Linked DNA regions of Mus musculus: regions 1, 2 and 3 are each reported to be linked to region 4. The links are microRNA targets in miRTarBase. Many come from high-throughput screens and were not tested one by one. Region 4 holds a microRNA gene; each other region holds the end of a gene's coding sequence.

Region 1 (7,241 bases), not on the chromosome of region 4:
GGGTTGAAGAGGCTCCTAAAGAGTAGCCTTTGGGTTGGTGGGGAGTGTCCAAGCAGTTTGCTTCAGAGCACAAGCTCAGAATAGCAAATGCAAATTTCCCAGAGCAGAAAAATATCCTACAGTTTTTGTTGGGATCTCAAATATCGGATTAAATCACTACTAGGGTTTATATCACATTTGTCAGCTAGTGGTTGGTTTTCTGGCTTCTCATAAAGTGTGGCAAGCAGAGTGTAGGCAGGTCCTTAAACATAAGGGCGGGTACCTCAGCACTCACTGACCATTGCTAGGCACTCACTGACCATTGCTTCGCCTCCTGTGTGACAAGTATGAGTGGAGAAGGGATCAGATGAGAGACTCCCAGTCAGAAGTGGAAAGTGTTTCAAAATAGTGTTGCTGTTCCACAGCATAGGCTACTTAGAAGGCTAGTAGGAGGTGCAGTCTTCTCTCAGAGACTGTACAGTGGGTATGTAAAGAGCAGTACCAAAAGCATCCCAGGCTGGACCCAGGGGCAGCCATTTCTAGACCATGGCTCTGCATGCACTGGAGGTGGTGCAGGCCCAGTTGGTCGACCATGCGTTGGTGACTGGGAACTGCTGTGGTTACTTACATACTGATGCTAACTTCTCTTACCCTGCAACATTTTTCTCCTCGGTAAAATAAGATTGTAATCTTTATTCACACATTCTTTTCTCCCTTCCGCTTTACAGGTGGATCATACAATAATAATGTACTTGATTGGACCAGATGGAGAATTTCTTGATTATTTTGGACAAAACAAGAAGAAGGCAGAAATAGCCGGCTCAATTGCTGCACACATGAGGTCACACATGAAGAAGAGGTAGCCAGAGCCGTGTCACCAGATGCAGGATTGGCTTGCTGAAGAGGAAGCTTTGTCTCCCAGAGGAACCTCTATATACTGTAACATACAACATGGACTTCATACCCTGAGAACATCATTCTACATGAGATGTTACCCTGGGGCTCAGCCAACCCAGTCTGCCAGGAAACTACCATGAGTTAAAGGGCCAGGGTGGTCAGAGCCAGTGGAGAACAGACGTCCAGAACCATCAGAGAGGCACACAATGCACATCTGTAGGAATGGCACTCTTGGAGTAGTGTTGCTTCCTTGCCGGTGTCTTCTTGCTCAGGGGGGCCAAATTCTACAGGAAGGTGTCACTTCCGTAATGTTCTTGCTGTTTCAATTTGTGTGCTCAGCATAGGCATTCAAGTCCTCTTTATATTTGAGAGTAGAAGCTTAGCTTCTTTGAAAAGGAATGTCACCATCAGGTCTGCATCTCTGTCACACAGTAGGTGCTGCTTTGGGCTGGAGGAGAAAACTTACTGTTTGCACATAACTTTTGGTTCATTCTCCACCTTTTTATTTTTTATTTTTTGTTTTTTGAGGCAGGGTTTCTCTGTATAGCCCTGGCTATCCTGGAACTCACTCTGTAGACCAGGCTGGCCTCGAACTCAGAAATCTGCCTGCCTCTGCCTCCCCAGTGCTGGGATTAAAGGCGTGCACCACCACTGCCCAGCTTTTTTTTTTTTTTTAATCCTTTTTATTTTTTTAATAGCTAAGTGGTTTGACTGGTTTTCAGTGGTAGACCACGTGGAAATGAGAATATTTATCATGTCTATGATCTGGTAATTTTTATGTACCAGATTACACAATGTATGAAATAAAAGATGTGGTCAGTCCAGCAACTTGGACAAGCATGGCTTTGCTTCTGTGAAGAATGGGTCCCTAGCACACCATGGTAGGGGTAGAGGCCACAGACTGAAGTGCTTGTTAAATAGATAAGTGCTTGTTAAAATGCAGATTCACAGGCCAGGAACTGGCCTCTCTTGAGTCAGAGTGGGATACAGAGACCTGGGTCTCCAGGGGCAAGTGACTGAGATCTGAGGACCTGAGCCCACACCTGGGTCATCTGTTCCATAGAGAAGTAACAAGCATAACCAGCTCTTAAAGGTGTCAGCAGCTACTCCAGGGAATGTCGTCTGGCTGGGTGTGGTGTGCACACTGTTAGTCCCAGCACTCGGGAGGCAGAGGCAGGGGCTTCTTCAAGTTTGAGGCTAGCCTGGTCTAATAGAGAGTCTTGGGCCAACCAGGCTACCTAATAAGACCCTGTCTCCAAAAAAAAAAAAAAAAAAAGAGAGTAAGAAAGACGATGCCTGCTGAGTAATGAATCTTGGCTTTGTTTCTGAATTAAACTTCCCTGATACCTGGGTTTGGCTATCTCCTTTTCAACTTGAACCTTTTTAATGAATCCAAAGATGCTACAAATGAGCCTTGCTGGAAACCATTCTTCCCAAACACAGATTAGTTTATATGCAAGCAATAAAGGCTTACCTTCTGGTTTTTAACTTCTTGGTACTTACATGAAGCCTAATGAAAATACTTATGTCACCATGAAAGAACACCTGTACTTGTTATAGGCCAAATCATGTCATTTACAATTTATATATTCAAGTCCTGGATCAGTCACTTCAGAATGTGACTGAATGTGGAAAGAAGGCATTTATTTATTTGTTGGTTTGTTTTTAAATTTTTGAGGCAGGGTTTCTCTGTAATCCTGGCTGTCCTAGAACTTGTAAGGACCAGGCTGGCCTTGAACTGAGATCCACTTGCCACTGCCTCTGGGTAGTATTTGGTGCTGGGACTAAAGGCATCACCACCCCCACACAGCTGGAGAGTAAGGCTTTAAAGAGGTAATAAGGTTTAAATGAAGCTGTTAGGTTTTCTCTTCCTTAAAGCAAACCTACTGATATCCTTAAAAGGGTAGGAAATTAGAACACAGGAGAGCAGGCTGAAGCACAGTTGTCTGTCCCTGGCCTCAGAAGAAACCGACTCCTGACACCCCCATCATTGATTGCCAGTCTCTAGAACCTTAAGAAAACAATTATTTTCTGTTAAATCAGTCAGCTGCAGTGAACCAGTATAGTCCATTCCTTAGTTGTGAGCCACCATGTGGTTACTGAGAATTGAACTCGGAACTGCTGAAAGAGCGGTCAGTGTTCTTTAACCACTGAGCAATCTCTCCAGCCACCCTGTTCAGAGACGTTTAAGACATTAAGTAGCCATTTAATGTCTTTATCTCAGGGTTCTGCATCGGTCACTCTATATCATACTGTAACTGTGTGTATACTGCGCTAAGGTCAAGGAAGAAGCAAGTAGAGTAGGGTTCAGTGTAGACCAGAACAAATGCAACAACCTGCTTGTTAGGGTTTTTCTTTGTAAAACCAGGATTGCATTAGGAAGGCATCAGATGGTGGGAGCACAAACCAGACGTGCACAGCTCCAGCAGGACTTGGTGTGATTGGTTTCAATTGAAGCAGACACAAAGCCCCTTCCAGAGTGAGATGCCTTGAACTATGTAGTGGCTTACATACCTGGAAGTGTAGGATGTATCCTGCCACTGTCTACAATCTACACCTCAAAACACATCAGAAGAATTCCTATGAGTGGCCTTGAAAGAAAGCATGTCTGGGGTGTAAGACTTCAACTCTTAGCAACGTGCTCTAGCTTAGCACAATAGCAAGGGCAGGCTACCCCAGGTGAGAGAGGGACAAAGAGACTGAAGAAGGCAGAGCTCTCAGCAAAGTTTAACAAACCCAAAGGGAAGAGAATGGTTTATTACTTATTGCAAACATCACCACCCATAATTTCCATAATTTCCCTACTTGTTCTATGCAAGAGTCATCATTAATGGGTATTATTCTGAGACAAAATTCCATTGTTTTAATTTTTACTATTGATCACTAGTAATGCCATGTTTTCCATCTATAATTTACTTGTTATTCTTCTTTTTTGAACTATGCACTTATGTTCTTGGGCTTTTTCTGAAGTTATTCATATATAATTTCTTTCTGGACTCATAATCATTTCTTATCCATTGGTGTTAGTATTTATGTTTTTGGTGAAGCCTAGTGATGACTGTATGTGTTCTGCCTTTGCTGTCATGTCATAACTGCATTCCTGGGTATTACGGTTGTAAGAAACAAAGGCTCACTCGTTGAAGCTCTAGAGAAAGAAGACGGGAAGAACTAAAATCATTGTGTAGACTAGACCTAAAACTGGATGCTCAAGAACGCCAGAGGCCAGAGCATTTCCCCCAAATTCAGGCTCACAGCACAGCAGTGTGGGAGAAAATTAGGCTGTCTATACATTTACATTTTTAGACAGTGTAAACATATATGACTATGCAAAAGTATGTACATCCTGTTTATAAAGTATAAACTGATACCATGTTATAGTTTACATTTGCAATGTGCGCCAACATTTTATTAACTTTTCAACAAACCCAAAAGGACCTACATGGGCCCTTCCTCCAACACCACTACAATGGCGGACCTGATACTGTGATGGTAGGACAACTTCAAGACCATCACAAGACCTCAGTGCCCAGCAGCAGCAGAGGGGAAGGCTCTCTTTCTTACTCTGCCTGGGCTCTTAAATTTGCATCATCCTCACATGGAAAATGGATAATGAGCTGCCAACTGCAGACCCACCCAGGAATACTTCAGATGGCTGGACTGTAAGAGTAGTGTTTCCAGCCCATTCCACAAAAAAGGAATTTAAATGGGAACAAGGATCGTTGGAGTGGTCTCACTGTTAGGCTGACACTGACCAGCTGTCTCTTTCCGTTCTTCCATGAGACTCCCCAAAGGCCTATGAGCAAACTCACTGCCTCTCAGTGCCATGACAGCTTTGGTTGCTGACCTCTAGGGTGGACTGGAGGTCTCTGGAGCCATTGATTCTCTATGCCGTGAAATGGGAATGGAAGACCCTGCATATGGGCCCTGACTCTGACTATTCAAACAAACCCTTTGGGTTTGTTAAACTTTGCTGAGAGCTCTGCCTTCTTCAGGGGAAGTGTTGCCTGCTGAGTGCCAGCCTTACTCTAGATTCAGAGAAAGACTTTGTCTCAAGGAAATAAAGCAGAAGAGATAGGGCAGGACACCAGTGTCGTCCTCTGGTCTTTACGTGTGTACGTGGGGATACGAATCCTCAGACACACATACACACACACCACATACAAAAAGAAATTACTAGGAAAAGTGGTCAAGTCTAAGGAAGATAGTTGATCTCTTGTGTTGACTTCAATCCCTTTGTAGTTTCTTCCAACATCATGGTGCCGAGAGAGATTGTGGTGATAAGAGCAGGATGAGGTATCTGCTGTGATTCGCTGGTAATATCCCCCTGCAGGGGTTGTAGGAGTAGCCATCTTGATCTAATTCCCACCAGCCATGAAAGTGAGCTGCTGGGTTCGCTGTTGCCCTGTGTGCTCGGTTGCTGTTGACTGGAGAGAGGCATAATATGCTGGGTTCCTCATGCACAGCCTGGCAAGACCCTGGAAGCAATGCCTTTGGTGACAGGTTGCCATGTCACCCCAGAGAATGTAATCTATTGTGACAGGCAACACTTCCCCTCAGCATACCTACAGACTTGTGTCTCTTATGCTCGTTAAGTGACAGAGTGACAGGCTAGAGATGAGGGGTTATAGTTATTAGTTTACCCCCCCCTCTGCCTTTTAATTTTACATAGAAAAACTAAGGTCAATTTAGTAAGTTTAAACTTTACCAGGGAGATTTGTTTCTCCCATAATCCAAGGCTATTCTCAGTGTTGAGGCACTGAGGTCCTGCACCAAGCACGAAGCAAGGACCAGGACCTCACCACAGCCCATCCCCCTGTGCAGCACTCCTGCTGAGTCACAGCTTCCCCATCAATTAAGTGGGGATATGGCCACCTGCTCTGCCTATTCCCTGGGATTGAGGCAAGGCTCAAATAAGATCAGGAACAAATGAGTGAAGCATTGGTAACACACGCACAAGATTACTAGGACATTTGACATATGAAAGTTCCAAAAATAGAAAAAAACACGAGAGAAAGGAAAAGGGATGTGAAGATGAGAATATGAGTGCCCAGCAGACACAAGACATCCAACTTCACAAGGAAGCAGCACCTGATACCTCGACAATACAGTTGCCTAAACAAAGCTCCAACAATAACAATAATCATGCGAACTCAGAAGGTGGAAGCCGCACGGTGTCCCAACTCTAGCAGACAGACTCACAGGCAACTAAGGACTGTTGAGGAAGGGAAAATTGGGAGCCCCTTAGTTGGTTACCCAGTGCAAAGTGGTTAGCCTTGAAACCATGTACACACAAGCAACACCAAATGGACTCAGCAGGTTGTGTGTGTGTGTGTATATATATACATACACACATTTATATATGTAACAGTAATAAGATGCCATCAATTTGAGATAGAGTAAGGGTGGGCATTAGAGAGGCTTATGGAGGAAATAGAAGTGGGGAAAGTGACATAGTTGGATTTTAATTAAAATTTAAAAAAAAAATTTTTTTTTTTTTTGGTTTTTTGAGACAGGGTTTCTCTGTGTAGCCCTGGCTGTCCTGGAACTCACTCTGTAGACCAGGCTGGCCTCAAACTCAGAAATCCGCCTGCCTCTGCCTCCAGAGTGCTGAGATTAAAGGCGTGCGCCACCACTGCCCGGCTGCTATCAATCTTTTAAGATAGTCATGAAGCTGATTTTAAATTCTCTCTCTTTCTGGCTTCCCTCACTCTGTAGGAGAAGTTCTTGAGGTTATGGGGTTATTGACGTTCCAACCAGCCCAGCACCCCACAGGTAAACCTGAGCAAAGGGGTCCCCAAGCTCTACATGCTCCCTCCTTTTCAGGAACCTTCTATGGGGGATTTGCCACCTCAACCTACTCAAGGCCCTAAATATGGGCCTGTCTTTTAGAATAAAATGTGTGATTGTTTTCTTAAAAAAAAAATGTAGACGTTTTGAGACAGGGTCTCTCTACATTGCCCTGGAAGTCCTGGAACTCACTATGTAGGACTAGGCTGGCCTGAAACTCACATAGAGCTACCTGCGTCTGCCTCCTGAGTGTTGGGATTAAAAATGTGCACCACCATGCTTCGCCTTGGTCTCATGACCCAAGGTAACGCTAGTGAACTGTAGGACGGAGGGGGCTGAGTTAGACCCCCTCCTTAGAATCCAAGGGCACCAGGGAATCTCCTGCAGGAGGTTGCATGAGCCGGTGATTTGGAAAGATGTAGCTTTCTCCCTAGGTTTTTATCTGGGTTCCCCCACCTTCCCTCCTCACCATCACGAGATTTCCTGAGTTCCAGTGACCTAGCAGACTGGAAGAAGGCATATGGTCTGGCTGTTAAACCGTAACTTTTAGCTCCTTTCCCGGATGAGTGAAAGGGAGG
Region 2 (7,000 bases), not on the chromosome of region 4:
CGGGTAGAACGCCGTTTGTATTGACTGCTCTGGTTTGAATACAGGTAGTACTTAGCTAAGACCTGAAGGTGACACTGTGGAAAGGTTCTGTGGACCTTTAAGTGGAGCCTTGTGGGAACCCCACATGATCAGTTGAGTGTGTGCACACCTCCTGGGAGTGTGGGGGCGTCCCCCTCCCTCCCCCACCCCTTCCTCCCTGTTTCTTTGTTTTGGTTTTCTTTCTCTCCCTTACTTCCCCCTCTCTGACACCTCTTTCCTCTTCTCTATAAGACTTGGAACCCAAGATCAAAAGAGCAGGGTAGCCTTTAATCCCAGCATTTTGGAGGCCGGGGCAGGCAGATTTCTGTGAGCTCCAGGACAGCAAAGGCTACACAGAGAAACTAACCAGAGCAAGCGAGCAGGGTGAATGCACTTGCTACCAAACCTAACAACCTGACTTCCATCCCCAGGACATACAAGGCAGAGAGAAGGAAAGAACCAACTCCTATGTGTAGTGAGAACTTGGTTTCTTTGAAAAACACAAAAATAATACAAGAATGTTTTCATATTAATCCCCGGTGTGGGATATGGGGCTGCTTCATATTGTTAACAGCAGCTGACTGTGGTTTGTTTTGTGCCCTAGGAGGGGTGTGATTTTTGCCAGCTGCATATAATTTCTACAGTGGGTGATGTTGGGAATTCTGGTGACTTTTCAGAGAATATATAAATGCTAGTTCCCCAAAAGGCAGGTTGGGTTGTTGATTGTGAGTTATTAAGTAGTCGTATGCAAAGAAAAAAGAAGAATAAGGAATCAGATATCCTGACTGCGAAGATCAAACTTGTCCCAAGGAACTTGATGCCCCTAATCAGCAGGAAGTAGTCTATTGATAGGGCATGGGACTTACCATCTGACTTACTGTGTAGCCCAGGCTGGCCTCGAATTCAGAGATTCATCTGATTCTGCCTCCCCAGGGCTGGGATCAGAGGTGTGTGACATCACTGCTCAGATATTATCGTGCTAAACATTTCCCCCATCATACTGCTTTTGCTTTTTTGAGGCAGGATCTCATGTACCCAGAGCATACAGTTCAGTCTCCAGCATCTAAAGAAACACACACACACACACACATACACACACACATACACACACACATACACACACACATACATACACACACACACACAACATAAACCAGTGGTTGTGTATGCCTGTGTGCATAAGGTTAAACTTGGGGCTTTTATATATGCTCATTAACAATCTCGTTAAGTTAACCTGGCCTTAAACTCGCTCTGTAACCCAGACTGGCCTTAAACTTACGATCCTCTGTGCTCAGTCTCCCAAGCTGCTGGGGTTACAGGCCTGAGCCATTGGTCAGGCTTATATGGTGATTTCCCTTCATGTTATCACATAAAACTCTTGGTAGTGGTGGTGTACAGCCACCAAGGAGGTAGAGGCAGGTGGATCTCTGTGAGTTGGAATCCAGCTTAGTTTACTGTGTGAGTTTCAGACAGCCAGAGCTACACAAAGAATCCCTATCTCAAAAACAAAAACAAACAAACAAGAAGAATAAAATGAATTGTCAACATACATGTCATTTTCTGTCAGATAGACTCCTTTACTTCAAATTGTTCTGTTGGGGTCTGGAGAGATGGCTCAGTGGCTGCTCTTCCAGAGGACCCAGGCTCCATTCCTGGCACCCATAGCAGCTCACACCTGTCTCTACTGCGGTTCCAGGGGATATGACGCCCTCTTCTGGCCTCTGCAGGTACCACATACAACGGGGTACACAGACATGCTGCCACAACACCCACACATAAAAAAGGTTTTGGGGGGCCGGACGTGGTGGCTCACGCCTTTAATCCCAGCACTCGGGAGGCAGAGGCAGGCGGATTTCTGAGTTCAAGGCCAGCCTGATCTACAAAGTGAGTTCCAGGACAACCAGGGCTATACAGAGAAACCCTGTCTCAAACAAAACAAAACAAAACAAAACAAAACAAAACAAAAAAAAAAGGTTTTGGAAGAGGTGTGACCCATAATTCTAAGCTTTATACTCCTGGAGCTGTGTCCTCTGTCTGTATCAGCAGCTTTCTCTAGTCATTGACTGCAGTGGTCTGTGGTGCACAACCAGCCTTTGCCTCTTGGAATTGAGGAGAGACCCGCTGAGGCTCGTTTTCTCTTTTTCTCGCTCTTTCTCCCAGGCTCTCCAGGAAGCCCATCGGGTCCTAAAGCCAGGAGGCCGGTTTCTCTGTCTGGAATTTGGCCAAGTGAATGACCCTCTCATATCCAGGTTAGCGCTGGTGACAGGGCTGTATAAACTTATCCACCAAAGGCTCCCCACCCCAAAGAGGAGAGGAGGAAGTCAGTGAGCCCCACAGGCGCTGAGTGTGAGCTCAGAGGTCAGCGAGCCCCAAGTGGAGATGCAGAGGCCAGAAGACCCTCAACCAGTACCCACGGGCCTACTCAGGAGCTAAGGCAGGAGGATCACCTCTAGTTCAACACTTGCCTGGTCTGTATAATGAGTTCCAGGCCTGGCTTGTCTGTAGAATGAGACTCTCCCAACCCACTGGCCAACCAAAAACTTAAACTCAGGCAATTGATTTCCAGCTTCCGTGGATAGAGCAGATGTCACAAGCTTGACAGAGCATATTCCCCAGGCAAAGATCAGAGGCAAGGTTAGCCGCCTCTCCTCCAGTTTCCTGGCGCTCTGTCCCACGCTGTGGGCCTCCTGGCCTTCCTCTTTGCTTACTTGCCTTGTCACAGGCACTTGCTTGACCTCTGTAGACACCTGTGTCAGCGACCCCTGCCTACAGTGTCCTGATGGCCATGAAAGGATGGCATCCCACAGGAGGCTCCCTCTCTCCACCCCTCTCTCTTTGAGACAGGGTTTCTCTGTGTAGCCTTGGCTGTCTTGAAACTCACTCTGTACACTAGGCTACCCCACCCACAAACACACTTTTCCTTGTTACTGGTGGAGTAGCCAGGAAATAAGCCCAGATCCTGCTTTAAATCTTTTTGTTTGTTTGTTTTTGTTTTTTAGGCTTTATGATCTGTACAGCTTCCAGGTCATCCCTGTCATTGGTGAGGTCATTGCAGGAGACTGGAAGTCCTACCAATACCTTGTGGAAAGTATTCGGAAGTTCCCAAATCAGGTACAAAGCTTTAAAGCTTTCGTGGCGTACAACAAAGTCCCCGAAGGTGAAGCCCAAGCATCCCATGTGTCTTTTCTTGCATTTCAGGAGGACTTCAAGGACATGATTGAAGACGCAGGCTTTCAGAGGGTGACGTACGAGAACCTGACTACAGGGATTGTGGCCATTCACTCTGGCTTCAAACTCTAGCTCCTTTTCTACTGTGGCACACAGGCCAGTCATTTCTACTGAACCCCGGGGCCAGATCATCTCCCTGATGAGACAGTAGCTGACCATTCGTCTCCTCTTACGGCCGTTAAGACTTTGGATTAGCTCTCATTAGTAGCTGCCCAGGCTGCTGAGGCCTTCTCCCAGAAATGTCTGGCCTGGTTTCTGCTGGACTCCAGCTAGAGGCTTAGCCGTGCAGTGTGGGAGTCAGGTAAAACCAGCACGATTGCAATTCTCAAGTTTGTTCATAGTTTCTTCCATGACAGATGTTTTCTAGAGGGGTAATGGGTCACTGGAACCCAAGGAGAATCTGAACCAGCTCTTCAGACCAGATTGGAATCTAAGGTGGTCCACATCAGAACGCTGACAATGTGGGCACCCAGCGGTGAGCACCTCTGAGATCTGGGGCTAGGGGTACAGCTCAGTGGAGCACATGCCTGGCCCGTGGAGGCCCTGGGTTTGGTGCTCCGCAGAAGCAAACAGAAGTAGGAACCTGTGAAGCAGTGAAGTTTACAATTTGGGTGTGGTTGTTACTCTTTCCTGGAAGAGGTGACACAGATATACGCCACCCTCGGCTCCTGGCACTTACACGGTGTCTTACAACTCTCTGTAACTCTTACTAGGGAACCCAATGCCCCCACACAAACACACACACACAAACACACGCGTTGACATACATAAAAAGTTAAATAAGAATCACAAAAGTGCCATCTCAGCACTGCCACTGCTGAGCCAAGCCCGCAGAGCGAGTTCCAGGCCAGGCGGGACTGCATGTTGAGCTCATACTTCTCTAGAGAAGCTTAAAAGAAAAAAAAAATAAGACTATGCATATAGCCCAGTTCCTCCAGTTCCAAGACCAGCCAGAGCCTGATCTCATTGCCCTCCATTGTGATGTTAAGGGATTTTCTGTGTATCTTGAACCTGACACTAGGCTTTATACAAACATTTGTTTAAAAAAATATATAATAAAGTAGGGTTATCTGAAAGGTCCTCAGATGTCACTTTTTGGCCCAACACACTAGGGGTCATTTATAGATCTCACAAGCCCTCACCTCAGAACAGCAGTAAAGAGCATGAGAAAATGCTAAACCTTAGACAGTGTTGTATTTTGTTTTTGAGCCAGCATTGGGAGAAACTCCATACACCATCAAACCAATTTTATTTCTATAGCAACATGTTCTCACATCTGAACCCGAAAATACAAGTCACCAGCTCCTGACAGCAAACAAAGCCTGATCAAGTTAGACTCTCAGTGTCCAGCCACGCGGTCTCGCGTGGCACTGGGGACTGCTACTGGAGACTTAGCAATTACAGTCTGATGGCCAAAACTAGTCAGGTCACAAGGAGGAAGAGGGACTCCATTCATGCAAACAGTTTTACCTGTTCAAAATAGACAAACTTAACTGCCCTATCTGTGGTCACATGACTCCAAGTACCCCATTGTTTCTGCAGATAGTAGGAGAGGCATGTCTACTGTCACAAAACGGTAAAACAATCAGGAGGGGTGCCCATCTGCAATCCCAGTACTTGGCAGGGACAAAGGAACATTTAAGGTTGCCAGGCAGTGGTGGCGCATACCTTTAATCCCAGCACTCGGGAGGCAGAGGCAGGTGGATTTCTGAGTTCGAGGCTAGCCTGGTCTACAGAGTGAGTTCCAGGACAGCCAGGGCTACACAGAGAAACCCTGCCTCAAAACAAAAACAAAAAGGAACACTAAGGTTATCCCTAACCATGACATAGTTTGAGGCCAGGACTGGATTTCCTAAGACACTTTCACAAAGAAACAGGCTTGCAAGATGGCTTATGGAATAGACTTGCTGCTGAGTCTTAGAATCTACACAGTAGAGAATCACTGACTGCGCACACACCAACAGCAAAGTCTCACACTCCTGGTCCTGACAGAACACAATGTCTGACCAAGTTCAGCTTACAAAGCTGTCCTGAGGCTCTCCGTAAGAAGCATAGTGAAGTGTGGGCTGGCTGCCTGGGCCTCTACCTGCAGGAGTCTCCTATGCAGGCCTCTCCTTGGGTTACAGTAGCTCCAACTGACAACGGGGCAACTTGGTGACTCCGGGCCCATAGCTTTCATTAGGTCCCCAAGTGAAGCTGTGACTCACATGTACTGATGATTTCTGAGCACAGCCAGTGAAAGCAGCAGCCTAGCAAATGAACTCTTGTGGTCGGTCCGCTAATCCAGGGCCGCCTAGAACCTGCTCTACTCCTTCCTTAGCTTCCCAAGTGCTAGGCTGACAGGAACAGGGCCTCAGACCTGTGGCTAATAATCCAAATCATCTGGAAAGACAGGTGTGGCCTGCCAGACATTCCATCAAGAGAACTAAACTAATCCTACAGAACAGGAACACCTCAGACAACAGACCAAGTCACTTACCAACTGCTAAGCCTCATCAACCCTATCTTGAACAAACTAGCAGAGACATACATCTCCAACAGATTTATTTTTAAAGGAATGACCTAAGGGAGAAAAAAATGGGGGTACAGAAGTATGGACTAGAAAATAAATACAAATGTAAGCTGTTTTACTAATTTTATAACCACAGACTTGTACAGAGAATGAAGCCCTGTACACAACACAACAGATTCAAACGAGGTGTTCCCTTAGCAAGGCTGAAGATTCAGTCTCTGGTATTTGGAATTTGGATGCAGTCCTTGTTTTTGGATGGATCACTGGGTGTTTGGCACAGTCCATGCTTTTAACCAGATTTGAACAGAAGAATGGCCACCTGACCCAGGTAGAAGTAGATGAAGTGTTTGGTTTCATGTGTCACATAACTACCGAAGTTTCGGCCCACAATGCAGTGCCAGGTAGGGTTGTACTTCTTGTCAAACTCCTAGGAAGAAGAAACAGAAATTTAGTGGTACACCTGGAGGATTCACTTTCCAGAGCCTGTAGGACCAGAAAGGGCAATCCTGGCATCTGTAATTGTCTCCACACTGGGACTGAATCCAGGGCATGGGCATGCAGGCAAGCGCTCACCACAGCCCCAGCAAATTCTTAAGAGAATGTTCCCTGGCTTTAAATCATCTACCTAATGCAACGTGCTTGCAGTCTGAGGTAAACTGAGAATGGGAGCTAAGAAGATCAAAGGTAGAAGGTCATTTTCAAGGACAGTTCTGTTTCAATGAGGGCACTTCTGGACTACTTTGATTTTTTTGTTTTGTTTTGTTTTCTAAAGACAGGGTCTCTCTGTAGTCCTGACCGCACTAGAACTGGTTTGGTCTCAAAAATCAAAGAGATCTGCCTGCCTCTGCCTTCCTAGTGCTGGGGGGTTAAAAGACCCATCATCTGCACCTCACCTCTGACTCCAGCAATTCGATGGAGGTAGATGACATCAGCATTTGCAGTTCATCAGGCTCCACCACTGTATTTGCCATGCACCCCAAATCAGGAAGACAACCACCACCCCCCCCCCCAAAGACCAAAGGACAAAGTCTCAATTACCACATAAATCAAGCCAGGCTGAAAAATGCAACAGAACCTGACAGTTAAATGCCAGGACTTTATCTTTTAAAATCGCTCTCCTCCACATCTACCCAGTCTTAAAAATTAGCAAGTTAGAGAGCATCTGCTACCTGATTCTCCCATCCCATGGACATTAAAACTAGCAATGTGTTCATTTCTTCACTAGTTGGATAGAACCAGGGC
Region 3 (7,241 bases), not on the chromosome of region 4:
GAGGGAACCAGGAGTCAACTGCTGCTCCACCTCCCCTCTAGGGAGGAGAGGACCTTGGGGTCTCAGGCAGATGGATCTGAAAGCCAGAGAGTCCCCGGGTGGTTATTGATAATGCCAGGGAAGAGCCATTAGCCAAGAGGGTTTCTCCCCCAGGGAAGGTCAGAGGAGGGGGTCCCACATTCGCTATTGAGCTTAACTGAAACAAAGACAAAGATGGACACCAGTGCTGAAAGAATTTACAAAAAATTGTTTAAGATGGACTTCTAGATGGCGGTGGGGTGGGGGTGGGGGTACTAATGATGAACCTTATCCTAGGTAGCCACTTGAAAACATATCAGATGTTCACAAGATTTGTGCTATGGGCTACTGGGTCTCTTCAAAATGTATATAAACATCTAAAACATATTCACACAGATTATCAATTTCTTCTGAGCATCCTTAAAAAAATATTTTTTTTCTCTTAGTAAAATCATTTTAATATACCACACCTCCCTCTTTTAAAAAATAAATTAAAAAAATCCAGTTTTGCATATCTAGTGTTTGCATTTAAGGTAGTATGGCACACCCCTTCAGCTAGGGGGGCAGGGACCTACAGAATGCTGTAGAGTCAGCCGCCATTTGAACATTGTGAGACCTTGGGTTAGTTGAAACCACATCAAATCAGCAAAAATAAAAGTAAATTTGAACTTGGAAAAAAAAAAAAAGGAAAAAACTGCCCCCAAATTATTAGCATTTTTTTTCTTTTCATAAATAAGAGAAAGTTCTATCCTTACTGGTCCTAATCTGAATAACTATGTCTATTTTTTTTAAAACCTTAATTACATTATACCTATCAATATGTACTAGAAGAGGAGAAAAAAAGTCACTACACTAGTACCAAGACAGCACACTTACAAGATAGCCATTTTATACATTATTAACAGACAATGATCAACAAAGAGCGTTCTATGAGGTGATGGGAGTGTGGGGGAGATGGACAGGGGCTGGGGACAGGACATCAGCAACGCGGACAGAAGAGTAATTAGCCAGTGCCCTTGTGAGACACTGACTTGCTGGGAATCGAGTCTCTCTCTCTCTTTGTTGTTGTTTCTTAAAGTAAAAGTTCTATTTTGTTATTTTATGACTTGAGTAAGTTTTGTATTCTAAAAGCATCCAGCATTTTTCTTAGTTTGGTTGTTTGGAAACTTAAAACAAAACAAAACAAAAAACACCCCAAACCTTACCAAACAACTCTGTATCTTATATATAGAGATATAAAAAAAGAACATGATTTCCTTTCTTAAAAAATAAAACAATAAGATAAAACAAGGTTGCACTTAATTAGAACGGGAACAGGCTTCCTCCCGCCCTCTCTGAATTAGCTTTTTTTTTTTGGAGACTTGTCGTGTGAAGATGCTTCTGCGCTATCCCGTCTGTGAATGTCTACATTAGTCTACTTGTTAGTAAAATTTATAAAAGTAGGAGTGCAGCAGCTCATTGTAATAAATGTCGCGTTCAGTGCCTCACACTGGCTGTGCCTTAAGTACCAAATTTATAAACGTAACAATTTAAAAAATATTAATAAAATGTCAATATCACATTTTAAAAAAGAAAAAAAATATATCCACACTACAGTATGCTTTAATGCTACCCTAAGTTGTACTTCCTACGGCTGCTGTTGCCGACCTATTACTGATATTTTTCTTTAAAAAAAAAAAAAAGTTAAATTAAAAAACATCCTTCATTCTAAGTGTCTTCCCCAACTGAGGACCATATATTATAACAGCCAATGTCAAATGTGTACAAACAGGAAGCTGTCAGTTTTCCCCACCAGTCACAGTGCAGTGATGTTTATATTTTATTTTTAAAATTCTGTTTACATCTACAATAAATTAAAAAAAAAAACAAAACAAAAAACAAAACACAAAACTCTTCCATAGCCTCTCTGATGATACTTGCAGCACTGAGGTATCAAAAAGGAAAAAAAATATATATATAAACTGAAAGGTTGCTTTCCTAATTTGTAAATAGAAAGTGAATGGAGAAAGGGTGTATTCTCGCAGGCTTATCCACGCCTGACCCACGGGTTCCCCCGTCTGGGGACAGGGTGAAGAGAGAGGCAGAATATCCTAGGACCCTTTGGAGGTGCTGAAATGATCGGACAATATAAAATGATCAGATATTTAAAAATTAAGACTGAAAAAGAATGACCCCACCCTGCCCCTCCCCTAAGCCAAAACAAGTGTGCTTTGAAACTTTAAATATGTCAAATATTAAAATTGTAGCTTTTTTTCCTTTTAAAAAACGTCTTGGGAAAAGCAGTTTTTCATATTTTAAATAAAAATCTAGCTAGATCATAACATTAGAAGCTGTGCACAGAGAGGCTGGTAGGCTGGCAGGGTGCTAATGTGGTTCTTAGGTCTATCACACCAACAGTGAAGAGTGGGGGTCTGGGGTGCCCTGGCAGCTGGGGGGGCTCTTCTGTTGTTGTACTGGCTTCATCGAGGTTCCCTCCCCTCCTTCCAGGGTACCTAACTGCCCAGGATCAACTCCCTCACAAAAATATTTTTTGATTCTCTCTTCCTTAATAGTTTCTATGTAGTTAATGGAATTATATTTACAACATTTTTTTGTTTGTTTTTTGTTTTTTAGAATTCACAATTTCAAAAAACCTTGTAATATGACCTCTTTGAACAGAAGAAAAGAAAAAGCACTCATAGGAAAGGAAGACCCTCAAAACACGGCCGTCCTTACCTTATTGCCGAAAATAGATATACTTAGGTTAACAAAGAGACGTCACAAAAATGAACGGCTAGAGAGTCTGTTAAGCAGCCAACTGTATGTCACTTCTACAACACAAAATAGAGTCTATGCCCACCTCCCGCTCCGCGTATCACAACTTCGATTCAGTGTGTGCTAAAGTCCCAGATGAAAAGTCTTACAGTCTCAGAACTGGTACCAAAAATGGAGAGTAACATCACCATCTCAGCATCCTTTAAAAGCGAGAACAGAATCAAAACAAAACAAAAATTCTCTTTAAAGGAAAAAAGAAAACAAAAAAAAAGAAAAAAAACTCCTTAATATATAACAAGTATACTATGGTTAGCTTTAACTAGATATTAAGCTGGGTGACTACCAGACTAAGTCAAAAATCACTACCAAATGTGATTGAGGGAGATTTAAAAGGAGAAGGGAAGAGGGAGAGGGGGACCACCAAGGAAAACAAACAGAACCAAACCAAAATCATGGATTATATACACGTTTAAAAGCTGTTGTCTTATATTACAGCAGGTAGCCGATGGGTGAGATGAGATGTGTCAACCCTCAATCCAAGTGTGCCACCTCTGGTTGGGATGAGGAGTGAGGCTGGTGGGGGTCCAGGTCTGAGGACGTCACCTAAACAAAGGGCCACTCAGAAACTTCGCCCAGTCTTGCCTGGACATCCAGGTATGCTCTGTAGTGTAGGGAGGTCAGGCGCGTCCCGGAGAGAACAAAGAGCAGGGGTGGGAGGGAGAAGAGAAATGTCAGGCACACATATGGCTCATGCCAAGGTCTCAACTACAAAACTACAGCTGTCAAAGACTAAGTTATGTGACTGTGTGTGTAAAAAATAGCTGGGCTAATGGCTGATTTCCTAGCTTGGTAAACCAGATATCTAGGCTGTGCTTGACAGATAGATCTGATACAGGGCTGGAAAGTTCTGGAGATCCTGGAGGGAGGTGGAGTCAGAATAGGTTTCCACTAGTTGGTCAAATCACACATTGATAAAACAAAACCCTTCCGCTTAAATTTTTGTTTTTAAACCTATGTTTAAGAAAAAAAAATATCGCCAACTGGGTGGTGGTGGTGCATGTCTTTAATCCCAGCACTTGGGAGGCAGAGCCAGGTGGATTTCTGTGAGTTCAAGACCAGCCTGGTCTACAGAGTGAGTTCCAGGTCAACCAGGGCTACACTGTGAAACCCTATCTTGAAAACCCAAAAAAGAAGGGGTGGGAGAGAAACCTATTGTTAACTGTTAATAACTAATGTGAATCTGTAGTAAGAGATTATATACTAAGGGATGGATATAACTATTTAAAAAATAAAAACATAAACAACAACAACAACAACCCCCCCCCCAAAAAAAAAACCAAACCAAACCAAATAACCAGCTCTGGTCCAAGAAAACCAAAACAGACCCAGGACTCAGGCTTGCTAACTGGGTGATCCTAGATGGCCTGTGAGCCTGGGCTCTTCTGTGGATGGTGACTACATGTCAGAGGGTCACTTCTGCCGGAGACAAATGATATGATTGCCTAGTCTTCCACAGCTGCTATGCAATCATGTGACTTGACCGGAAGGAGTGGGTTTTGAACTGCTGCCCTCCTGATGACTTTATCCTTATGTAGAAACTGAGTCTTAAAGCTGAATGATGGACATAAACTGGGGGTGAGGTCATATGAGGGAGGGGGCTCTTGGGGTGAGGAGCAGATACTGATAGACCCAGTGGCTGGACTCCCGAGGGAGGACCTGCTATGCCTAGGCAGCCTTTGAGTCCCTTTTTGTTAGACACTGAAGCCATCTTCAGCCTTCTGAGTTCTTGGTCCTATCAGCCCTCCTTGCTTTCAGAGGAACCTCACTGTCCCCGAGCCCCAAGATCCAGCCTTATTAGTAGCGAGTAGCTTTTGTTCAGGCTGTTAGTGGGTTCTGGCTCTGGCCAGTGATGGAGGGCAATGGAAGTGAGGGGTGGGAACATTCATATAGAGGGTTTACTTGGTTAGGAGAGGCAGTAGAGTTAGTGGAGCAGCAACAAAGGACGGAGCTTAAAGATTTGTGGAGCTCAACTCAAATGGGTTTCTCAAATGGTCCTGGTCTACGGAGTCATGGTTGCTTCCAGAGCTAGAAGATTCCCCTCTACAAGAGAGTGGACAAACCCAGAGCTGGCCTTTCCTTCCCCTAGCTCCAAGTGAAAAGTCTTGGGATTCCCCACGTAGGACCTATTCCAAGGCCTTAGCCATCGCTGTCTCACCCTCTGATTTACATGCCAGCACAGGACAGACCTTGGGCTTCCCCAAGGATGACAATCCTCTGCTTGGCACACCTCCCAACCTGATACTCATTTTTGGAGAATGTGGTAAGAGGATTGCTCGCTACCTGCCCAGCCTCCCTCCCGTCTCTCCCACCACCTCTGGATTCCCATCAAAGTGATTTAAAAATGTTTAATTAACTTGAGCTCAGTTTAAAAGGTTAAGAAACTGGCAGGGATCCAAATTCACGTTAGGCAGGTGATGCTGTTAATTTAATTTGCTTTTCGTGTGGTAATCTTGATAATTACTCCATAGTTAACTGGCAAAAAAAAAATGTTTTCCTTTCACTCAAAGATGGAGTCAGGCCGGTTGGCTGCACGAACCCCATTGGCTGAGAGTCCCGGCAACCTACGGGGCAGTTCACAGGACTTTTGAGAATGGTTCTGCTCCCCATGCCGACCCCAGGATTGGCATAAGACCAGTTTACCTGCCTCCATCCTTCCTGGAATGGACACAAAATGAGATCACCTTCCAGTTTCCCACTCAAGAAGGAAAAAGATGAGGGTGGAGAAGATACAGAAACAGAGCCAAAAGAACCAAATTAAAAATGAGCAAAATGAAGGGGTGGGGGGGAGGAGTGCCATGATTAAAAGCCGGAGGAGGAAATGAGAGAATAAAGATACTGGATTTATTTTTGATCCCTCTTCCTTTGAAAGGGGGTTCAGCGAGAGAAGAAAGAGATGTGATGTGATGTGCATGTGTGTACACGTATGAGCGTATGGGCACATATGTGTACGGACACGCGGGCAGGGCGGAGACGCACGGCAGAGATGGTAATACCTCATAGTGAGACGGCAATGGAAGCGCCTGCTCAGTGGTATCCATTTGTAAAGGCCGTTGCAATCAAAGGTCCCTAAAATTGCACAAGTGTTAAGTCCATCAGCGCGTTATACATGGGAACAGATTGTCTTATCCTGGGAAAGGAGATCACCTCTAGCACTACAGTTGATGGTTGCCAGCATGAATATGTAATTCTGAGACACCGTGCCATGGGGAGTTGGGGTGATGCTGTCCCCAGCTCCCTCTTTCCTGCCCAGAGATCCCCCCACCCACGCTCGTCTGCTTCCCAAGGGGAAACCAAGAGCCAGACTCTGAGGGGTGAGTGGGTGGGAAAAATGGGGCTCATGCCTCAAACAAATGACCACAACAGTGGCCATGGACCCCACAGGGCAAATACAAGGATCTCAACAGATTAATTTGGGGGAAGAAATGTCCGTGGTGATCAACGTTGATGGCCTGTGTGATTATTTGAGAAATAACATCACAGTGTGAAGATCCCAAGATCCAGGTTTTCGAGAACAAACAGGATGTGTGTTTCTCGCTGCTGAAAGTGGAAACGAGTCGTGTCCTGAGTGCTGACTGACCAGCCCCCAAATTGGTGCAGCTCTGGGCTGAATAACAATGTTCTGGATTTGGTACTACAGTTGATCCGAGGGGATTAGACTCATCAAACTACTGATTCGAGTAATACTGGCTTTGGAGCAGAATTGAAAGAGGTCTCAGGAAGCACGGGCCAGGGTTGGCTAACATGCACAAATATGTGTCTGTGTGAGAATGTATAAGACAGTGCACGCCTGTGTGTGTGTGTGTGCGCGCGTGTGCATGTGCGTGTGTGTTTCCAATGCCAGGAGCCATGAAGTTGCCTTGGCTCTTCAGGCCCTTGCAATGGCTTTGGTCTCCCCCACATGGTCCTCAAGGCAGATTTTTCCCTGCTTTCTCCCAGATACAGAATCTGATGCAGGATGTAACCTGGGATAGCAGACACCCCCACCTCAACTCAAAACCAAACTGCCTCCCAAAGAATGAGGCTGGCTAGGGCAGAGACTGGCCTGGGGGTGGTTTCTGTTTCCAAAAAAACAAAAACAAAAAACAAAAAAAAAATAAAACCGGAGGGGGCACCAGCCAGCGAGTGGGCTCAGGCACATTCATGCTCACACACCAGGAGGGAAAAGAACAATACGATCTGAAAACAGCATGCAAATCTCTTAAGCAAATTTCCATTGCCTGGATTAGTCAGATTATAGAACCACAGAGCATCACAGATATCAAATGCATCTGGCCTTTGGGGAGCTGCAGCTAAAGACTGAAAATAGGAACTTACTTGGAACCTGGAAGCTGGAAGAAACATTAGCAAAGGAAATGACCTGGGAAGGGGCTTCCCCTACCATCTTCCAGGCACCACTGACACTAGTGGAC
Region 4 (7,000 bases):
CAAATGCCACTGCCAAGTCTCCTTGGCTACAGACACACACACACACACACACACACACACACACACACACACGTGCTGTTTTCCCAGTGGGAGGGAGAATCGCAGGCATTGCCTTCCCTGCCCTGCCCAGACCTTGCTTTGGTCTCTCCCACCTGTCAGGGTGTACTGCATCTTGGTCATGGTTGATATCTATCCACTGTGGACCCTGGAAGCAGTTGATTCCAGACAACACAATCCCTAAGTTTGCCTGCTTGCAACCCTCAGGCATCAGTGCTGCCTTTACATAGAGCCCCATATCCTTGAAGACACCCAGTATGATGTCAAACCCTTCTAGGTTCTCATGGCAACAGCTACTTTCTCATGTAGCAGACCAGAGACCCCCACATCAGCACTGTCACAGGCTTCTATGTGCTTCCAAGCCTAAGGCTAAAGACCACAGAGGGAAGATTCCATACCCAGAAAATCCCCCCCCACATTTTTTTCTTGACCCACACTCTCTAGAATGGAGCTTCAAGGACAAGGCCCCAAGTCTTGGTGTCCATGGAGTTCTATTCCTGTCTCAAGGCAGGAGGATTGCCAAGAGGGACCCAGAGAGCGTCTGACTTTGGTGACATCTGCCATGGGTGTGCTTAGGGAAATGGGAATGGCAGCCACTGCAATGCAGGAAGCCTTCCATGCAAGAGAAATTTCTGAAGCCACAGGCTGCAGTAGCTGTCTCCCCATTTGAGGGATGAAGAAACTGAGGCTCAAAGAAAAACAATGGCCCATCTGTGGTGGGCCAGAGATTACCCAAACCTCCTTATCTGAGCATATACAGCACCCAACTCCCATCTCCCACCCCAAAGGCTTAGAGAAGTCAGTGTGTCCTTTGTTCTGATTGGCCAGCTCCCCAACCTGCCCTTTGCTTTGATTGGTGGATGCCTTGAGCTGCCCTTTACTCCATTTGGTTGCTACTTGTCTGGCCTTTGTTCTGATTGATCAGTTTGCTGTGCCTTTTTAGGCCAAGGGCAAGAAAATGGCGGTGGTGGTGATGGTGGTAGAGGGAATGAGGTAAGATAGCTTGGGGAGAGTTGGGGCACCAGCAAGGAGGGGTTCTCCATCCTTGCCCGGGTAAGTAGGATGCAGACTAGTAGAGTTGAGGCTCCGGGCTTGGCAGCCATCTCTCCATCTGCTTTGGAGTCTGACCTGCTCAAGAATGAGGTGTTAGCTGTGGGAACGATTGAAGGAAACAGGCCACTCAGAGGGGCCTGTACAGCTCGCTGAAATGCCAATTGCACAAATGAACACCCACCTCTCACCCCACCACAAGGGTCTGAGAGTAACTTAACCTCCACTACACCAGCTGGGGGAGGGGAGTTACATTCGAATCCTGCCTGGGCACAGGACAGAACTGCAGCCTTGGGGGAGGGAGCAGCTGTGAAGAGGAAATGGGGCAATTTCTGAAATGGAGGCACAGTAGGGAGCCAGCCTCAAACAGTCCTAGCACCCCAGGACTCTCAAGGGAGGGAAAAACAGCCATTTTTACCCACTTGTTTGTCTGTCCTCCCTCGCCCCCTCCCAACCATGTGCCACATAGGCAGGCTGTCAAGTGTACACCTTAGCTCACACCTCCATGTAGATGGCTCATATAGGCACAGACAGAGAAATGCAGTCATACGTCCAATGAGTACAGTCAGGACTAGTATTTAGGAGTATGCAGGCAGACACACACACACACACACACACACACACACACACACACACACGGGGGTGGGGGAACATAGCACGTGTGCACATACACAAGAGTCCTTGCTCATTGTGGGTGGAGGCTGTCACATTTCCTGTCCTTGCAGCTTTTGTGAACAAACACCAGAGTAAATATCAAAATATCAGCATAACAACCAGGCAATTTCCCAGACCCCAGGGGAGAACCTGTGGCGTATAGACAAGAGCAATGATTTCCAGCCCTGTCCCAGATTGACGACAGAAGCTCCATGTGGCCTTGAACACACCCCTTTCTCTTCTGAACCTTGTTTTCCTCCTGAATGTAAAAGAGTCTTTCCACTCTGCGACACCTCTAGTTCTGTGGTTTTATGGACTAATTTGATGAGGGTGACTGGGTAGGTGGATGGAGGGATGCATGGAATGGGTGGGTGGGTAGATGAGTGAGTAATTAGGAAAATAGGTGGGTGGGTAGATGGGTGCATGACTGGATGGATGGATGGATGGATGGATGGATGGATGGATGGATGGGTTGATGGATGAGTAGATAGGCAAGTGGGTAGAAAATGAGTAGATAGAAGACTGAAAAAATGGGAAGATGGTGGGTATGTGAACAGATGAGCAGATGAGAAAAATCAATGGATAGATGGATGATTAGAGCAGTTAGATGGCAGATAGGTGGGTAGATAGGTAGGGAAAAGGGAAATGGGTGGGTGGGTGGACAAATGGGTAAAGAGATAGGAAATGGAGGGGAGGCAGGTGGGTAGGTGGGTGGGTGGGTGGGTAGGAAAATAGGTGGAGGGTCAGTGGTAGTCTGTGGACAGTAGGTGGAAGAATGGACAGAGTTCTTTTGCTCTCTGCAGCTCCCTTACCTGCGGCTCTCTACCTGCTGCTGTGGGCTGAGACTGCCATCAGCACCGCAGACAGCGCCATTCCTGTGTGCTGGTCTTTCTCCCTAGATACCATGAAAGGGGACAATGCTGTTGGAACCAGGGTTTCTCTGAAACCTGGGCGGTTGCCAGTTTTCTGAAACCTGGGCCTGAATCAGCATTTGTGTGTTCGACTGGGGAGAGCAGAGGGCCCAGATTGAATTGCTTCTAACTCCTTCCTAAGATCATATGAAACCAGAAATTTTGGTCTTCTCTCCTTTGGGGCCATCCTTAGGGACAGATGGCCTTGAGTAAGGGGTCACTGACAGAAGATGCTGTCTTATTCTGCATCTATAACCCTCCATGACTTTCCTAACTCACAAACCTGCCATCTGCTCGCCCTGCTGCTGGCACCTGGACTCCCTACAAGAAAGTAATAACATGGGACTCCAGAGTAAGAACCAAACTGTACCCTGGAACCATTTCTGCCGATCCATCTTGCTCTGTGTCTCCTCCTGGCCTGAGGTTAGGGGCTGACCTCACAGACTGGAATCTGATATCTTCCTCCAAAGGGAGATTCCCTGGGAGCTCCTCTGCCTGTCTGCTTTTTTCCATCCCTCTGGGTCAGGCTCTTCTGGTCCCTCCGAGTGCTTCTCTGCCTCTCCCCATCATACCCTAGGCGATGTCCATCTGTCACACACTGCTCTCCTGTCTTGCCATGTCATTTCCACCTCCACATCCTGGCTCTCTCTCCGGGAAGGCTTCTCTGCCCACCCTCCTTCTCTTTCCTGCATATCCCCACCCCAATCACTCCTGTCTCTCCTGCCCACTCCTCCCCCAGATCTCCAAGAAATCATCCTGAGAACATGGGGGGAGAACATCAACAGACAGAATGCAGCCATGAATAGAGGTGCCAGAAAGTGGTCACGGTAGGGAAAACCAGGAGCCTGGAGCAGATGCCACCTGCCCCCCTCTCTGTCTCCATCCTCTTGTTCTGGAGAGCAATGCACACATTTCCTAATCTTTCCTGGAGAATGGGGAGTGCATCTATCTCCATGCCCAGGGCACACCTCCATTAGCCAGAGCTAGGTTACTTAGTATAACTATTTAAGAGGACTCCTTGAAACTCAGAATAGGAAAGTCCCTAGCCCAAGCCCAAGTCCAGAAGCCCAGTTTTCCTCTCTGGCTCTTCACAGCTGCCCAGACACAAGGCAGAAAACAGAGGAAGCAGGAGAAGGTGGCTCCTTTCCCTCCCCACCGCCCACGCCTGCCACCTGCCCAAAGAGCTGTTTCTAACAGACCTGTCACCTGAAAATATTACAAGAGCTGCTTGTGTGTGCTAACACTTGCATCCACGACTTCCCAGTAGCAAGGCTGAGCTGGGCCAGAAGCAAAAGGAAAGGAAAGAGACTAGGTGATGTTGGGCAACCCAGATGCCAAGTGAGCCACCTCATAAGCCCTGAGTGACTCTGGCTATGGGGAAGGGAAGGTACCTTTCTCAGGTACTGATTGTGGTTGCAGATGTCCCTCAGTGGTTTCCAAAGTACGGCATGGCCCAGAGTCACCTGGAGGACTGTTGAAATACACAGTGCTGTCCCCACCCCAGAATTTCTGCATCAGCTGGTCTGGGAAGAGGTTGATGAATTTGCACTACCAACTCCCCAATTTCTAGCTGCTGCTGGCCTGAGACGTGCCTTTCACTCACCCCACTTTAGAGGCACAGGGGTGTAAAGACCGGGATGTAGGGAAGGTAGATCCTTTCTCCAGTGAGGGTAGCCATGGGGACAGCTGGATGCTACCCCCACATGAAGAGACTCCACAAGAAAGATCCCCAAGGAGAGGAGGCATAAGGGTGAGAAAGGAGAAAAGGAGCTGTGGCCATCGTTGAGTTGGTGACACAGGGGCACGTGGAAGGAGCCACCTGCAGCTCAAGAGCCAAGTACTACAGGAAGGGGCCCCCTTGTCCTCCTTTTCTCTCTCCCCCACCCCCTTTCTTTTGCCCACCATGCCCTCTTCCCCCTTAGCCCACCACCCTTCGAAGACTCTGGCTTCAGTTGTTACTCCAACAGGGCCGCGTCTCCAGCCTCCGAGCCACACTGGAGACACGTGCACTGTAGAATACACCTGCGCCTGTCCTGGCGCCTCCCAGGGGAACCTCCACTCCCTGAGGGGGACCCTTGGGACAACTGTTGGCTTCTCTCATCCCTTACCATAGCTGGTCCCCCCCTGGACCTCCCACTCCTCCCCAACCAGGCTGAACTTCTACCCCAGGCACTCCCACTGTACTGACCCCTTTAAAGCCATCCAGGGCCAAGTGTGGTGATAGAGAGTGGGAAGGAGGAGAAGCAGCCAGGTGGGAAGGCAGGGGTTGTTAGTCCTCTCAGACTGACAGTCTACTCTCCAGTCTAGAAGGGAAAGATTAGGGAAATGGAAAGAGGAGGGAGACAAGAGCCCAGTATCGGGAGGAGGTGATGGCCCTGGCCTGGAAGCTTTAAGATGAGTTGAGTTGGGTCAGACTTTGACTTCTCCTCACCCTACCCATCTTCAGTTGCCTCCTCCACACAGTAGGACCACTCTGTCCCCATAGCCCTCAGGTTTCTAACCAGTAAGGCCCAGCTCCCATACATGTCACCATAGTCTCCTCACAATTCCCGTCATCTTGGTTTCCTGTGGTCTCTAACCTTCCTGCCTCTGTGACCATGAGAGTTGAATTGAATACAGTGGGACAGTCACTGGGGACTGTGGTGAGTATCTGTGACTCAGAGCTGTGTCTGGGGAGATGTTTTGGCATCAAGGAAGCTTGGGTACACTGTTCCCCAGGGTGTACAAGAAAGAAGAGACTCTGGGAATCAATACCCCGAGAAAGGGTCTCGGTGAACTGGCTGGCCTCCTGCTCCGGTTTCTATGAGCCTGAATGTCTACGACCCCACCTCTCATGTGGCCTTGGAGATAGGACCAGAGCTTGACCCAGCAAGCCTAGAAGCCTCTGCAAGTCAGACATAATGGTCCACTCAGGAGAAAGGAATGTCGAGTGACTAGCTGGACCAGTGTCAGGAAGGGAAGTATGCCAAAGGAAAAGATATGGTCAGACAAGAGTGGGTGGGTGAGAGAGCCAGTGATGGTCTGCTCACTCGGACCCTCACAACTTGATGGATGCTCCTTCCCGGTGCTGTGTGTCATCACCTTGCCACACTGCCCTCTCTGGCTCCCCCATCAGGCCAGGAGCTTTTGGGGGAAAGGACAGCATCCTGATTGTCCCATAGCTCTTCTGCTCTTAGCATCATCTAGTCTCCAATGAGAGCCCAGAAATGGTGGAGGCCAGCGACCTCCTGAGCAGAGAAGTGGAGTTCCTGGAGGTCCCAGGTGGGGAGACAATGGCGGTCTCTGTATCCCAAGTCTGGCGTGATGAGAGACGTAGACAAACAGCCCACGGAATGAGAGGATGCTTTTCCCTGAGAACTTTTGACAGCATTTTCAAGGTATCTGGCAAGCCAGGAGACCTTCTGCTCTTCAGGATCATCTCCAAGTGGGAAAAGCCTAGGGTCCCAGGAAGAGCAGGTGAGCAGCACCTCTTATTCAAGGACGTCATCTACATGGGGAACACCTGTCTCCACCCCAGTCCTCCTGGGAATTCCTATGAGACCAACGTCTTTAGACCTCAGGTGTCATGACATTGGATGCCCAGTTTGGTATGGGGTGTATGGAAGGTCAGAGGAGACAAAAAAAAAAAAAAATAGCCAGGTTCTCCCCTAAAGGCATGGGGCGAGGCCCTCTCTCCTGTGGCTTTGGACTTCTCAAGTCCTGCTTTGGCCAAGGGATAGACTTGTCATCTCTCCAATGTTGGAATGGGACTGGGTGTCTCTCTCTAGGCCTGGGTGGAGCCTCTTGTCTCCCGCTCTTCCATTGTCCCCTTCCCTCCTGTGCCCACAATAGATAATAAATGCTAAATGGCACTGACTTGACACAGGGCGATGTATGGCTTACAGAAGGGCAGGAAGGGAGGGCTGACCAGGGGTGCTGGGCAGAGAACTAAGTGTCCCATGGTACCTGCCTGGTGGTTGGTCCTGAGTGTCCCCAGCCCTCCCAGTACCTCCCCAGGGACCTCTGTGTCTGCTTGTCTTGGTGTGTCTCTTTGGTGTATGTCGATTCCACAGCCTCATGTTGCTTCCTCCTCTGACTGTATTTGGCTCCATCCTCACAACTTGGCTCGTCCCAACTGTTCCCCAAATCCCAGGAGAATGGGAGTATGAGACATACAGGGACAGAGACCAATTCAGAAACAAGGAAACACGTGAGAGTCAGAAGGGGATAGGAGACAGGACTGTCGAGGCCAGGACCAGCCGGGGAAGACCCCCAACATACAAGGAAACCCTTTAAGGAAACCTAGGGAGGAGAGATTCCTCCTCTACGCTGACTCCTGCCCTTCTTTT

The links. The annotated mature microRNA mmu-miR-139-5p reads UCUACAGUGCACGUGUCUCCAG and lies in region 4 at 4,667-4,688, opposite strand. An mRNA with a match to its seed (bases 2 to 7 or 8) in the 3' UTR can be bound and repressed. Matches are read on the target gene's strand: a 7mer-m8 pairs with bases 2 to 8, a 7mer-A1 pairs with bases 2 to 7 and ends in A, and an 8mer does both.
Region 1: the mRNA of Sco1 is a reported target of mmu-miR-139-5p. Seed matches in the 3' UTR shown: 7mer-A1 at 1,447-1,453.
Region 2: miRTarBase lists Dynll1 as a target of mmu-miR-139-5p. Seed matches in the 3' UTR shown: 7mer-A1 at 4,976-4,982.
Region 3: miRTarBase lists Msi2 as a target of mmu-miR-139-5p. Seed matches in the 3' UTR shown: 7mer-m8 at 1,609-1,615.

The regions. Positions count from the first base shown.
Region 1 is chr11:67,063,199-67,070,439 of GRCm38, forward strand. It overlaps Sco1 (SCO1 cytochrome c oxidase assembly protein), which reads left to right. Exons shown (of 6, transcript NM_001040026.1): 6 at 708-4,242. The coding sequence ends at 842. Among named protein-coding and RNA genes, the nearest start is that of Myh3, 11 kb to the right of the region's middle.
Region 2 is chr5:115,292,649-115,299,648 of GRCm38, forward strand. Dynll1 (dynein light chain LC8-type 1) reads right to left here. Exons shown (of 3, transcript NM_019682.4): 3 at 4,462-6,185. The coding sequence ends at 6,048. It overlaps Coq5 (coenzyme Q5 methyltransferase), which reads left to right. Exons shown (of 7, transcript NM_026504.2): 5 at 2,179-2,267; 6 at 3,018-3,129; 7 at 3,217-4,324. The coding sequence ends at 3,318. Among named protein-coding and RNA genes, the nearest start is that of Dynll1, 4.8 kb to the right of the region's middle.
Region 3 is chr11:88,341,228-88,348,468 of GRCm38, forward strand. It overlaps Msi2 (musashi RNA-binding protein 2), which reads right to left. Exons shown (of 14, transcript NM_054043.3): 13 at 5,826-5,898; 14 at 1-3,433. The coding sequence ends at 5,857. Among named protein-coding and RNA genes, the nearest start is that of Mir378b, 7.9 kb to the right of the region's middle.
Region 4 is chr7:101,473,070-101,480,069 of GRCm38, reverse strand. It overlaps Mir139 (microRNA 139), which reads right to left and starts at 4,694; the gene lies at 4,627-4,694. The region is part of intron 1 of Pde2a (phosphodiesterase 2A, cGMP-stimulated); the gene reads right to left.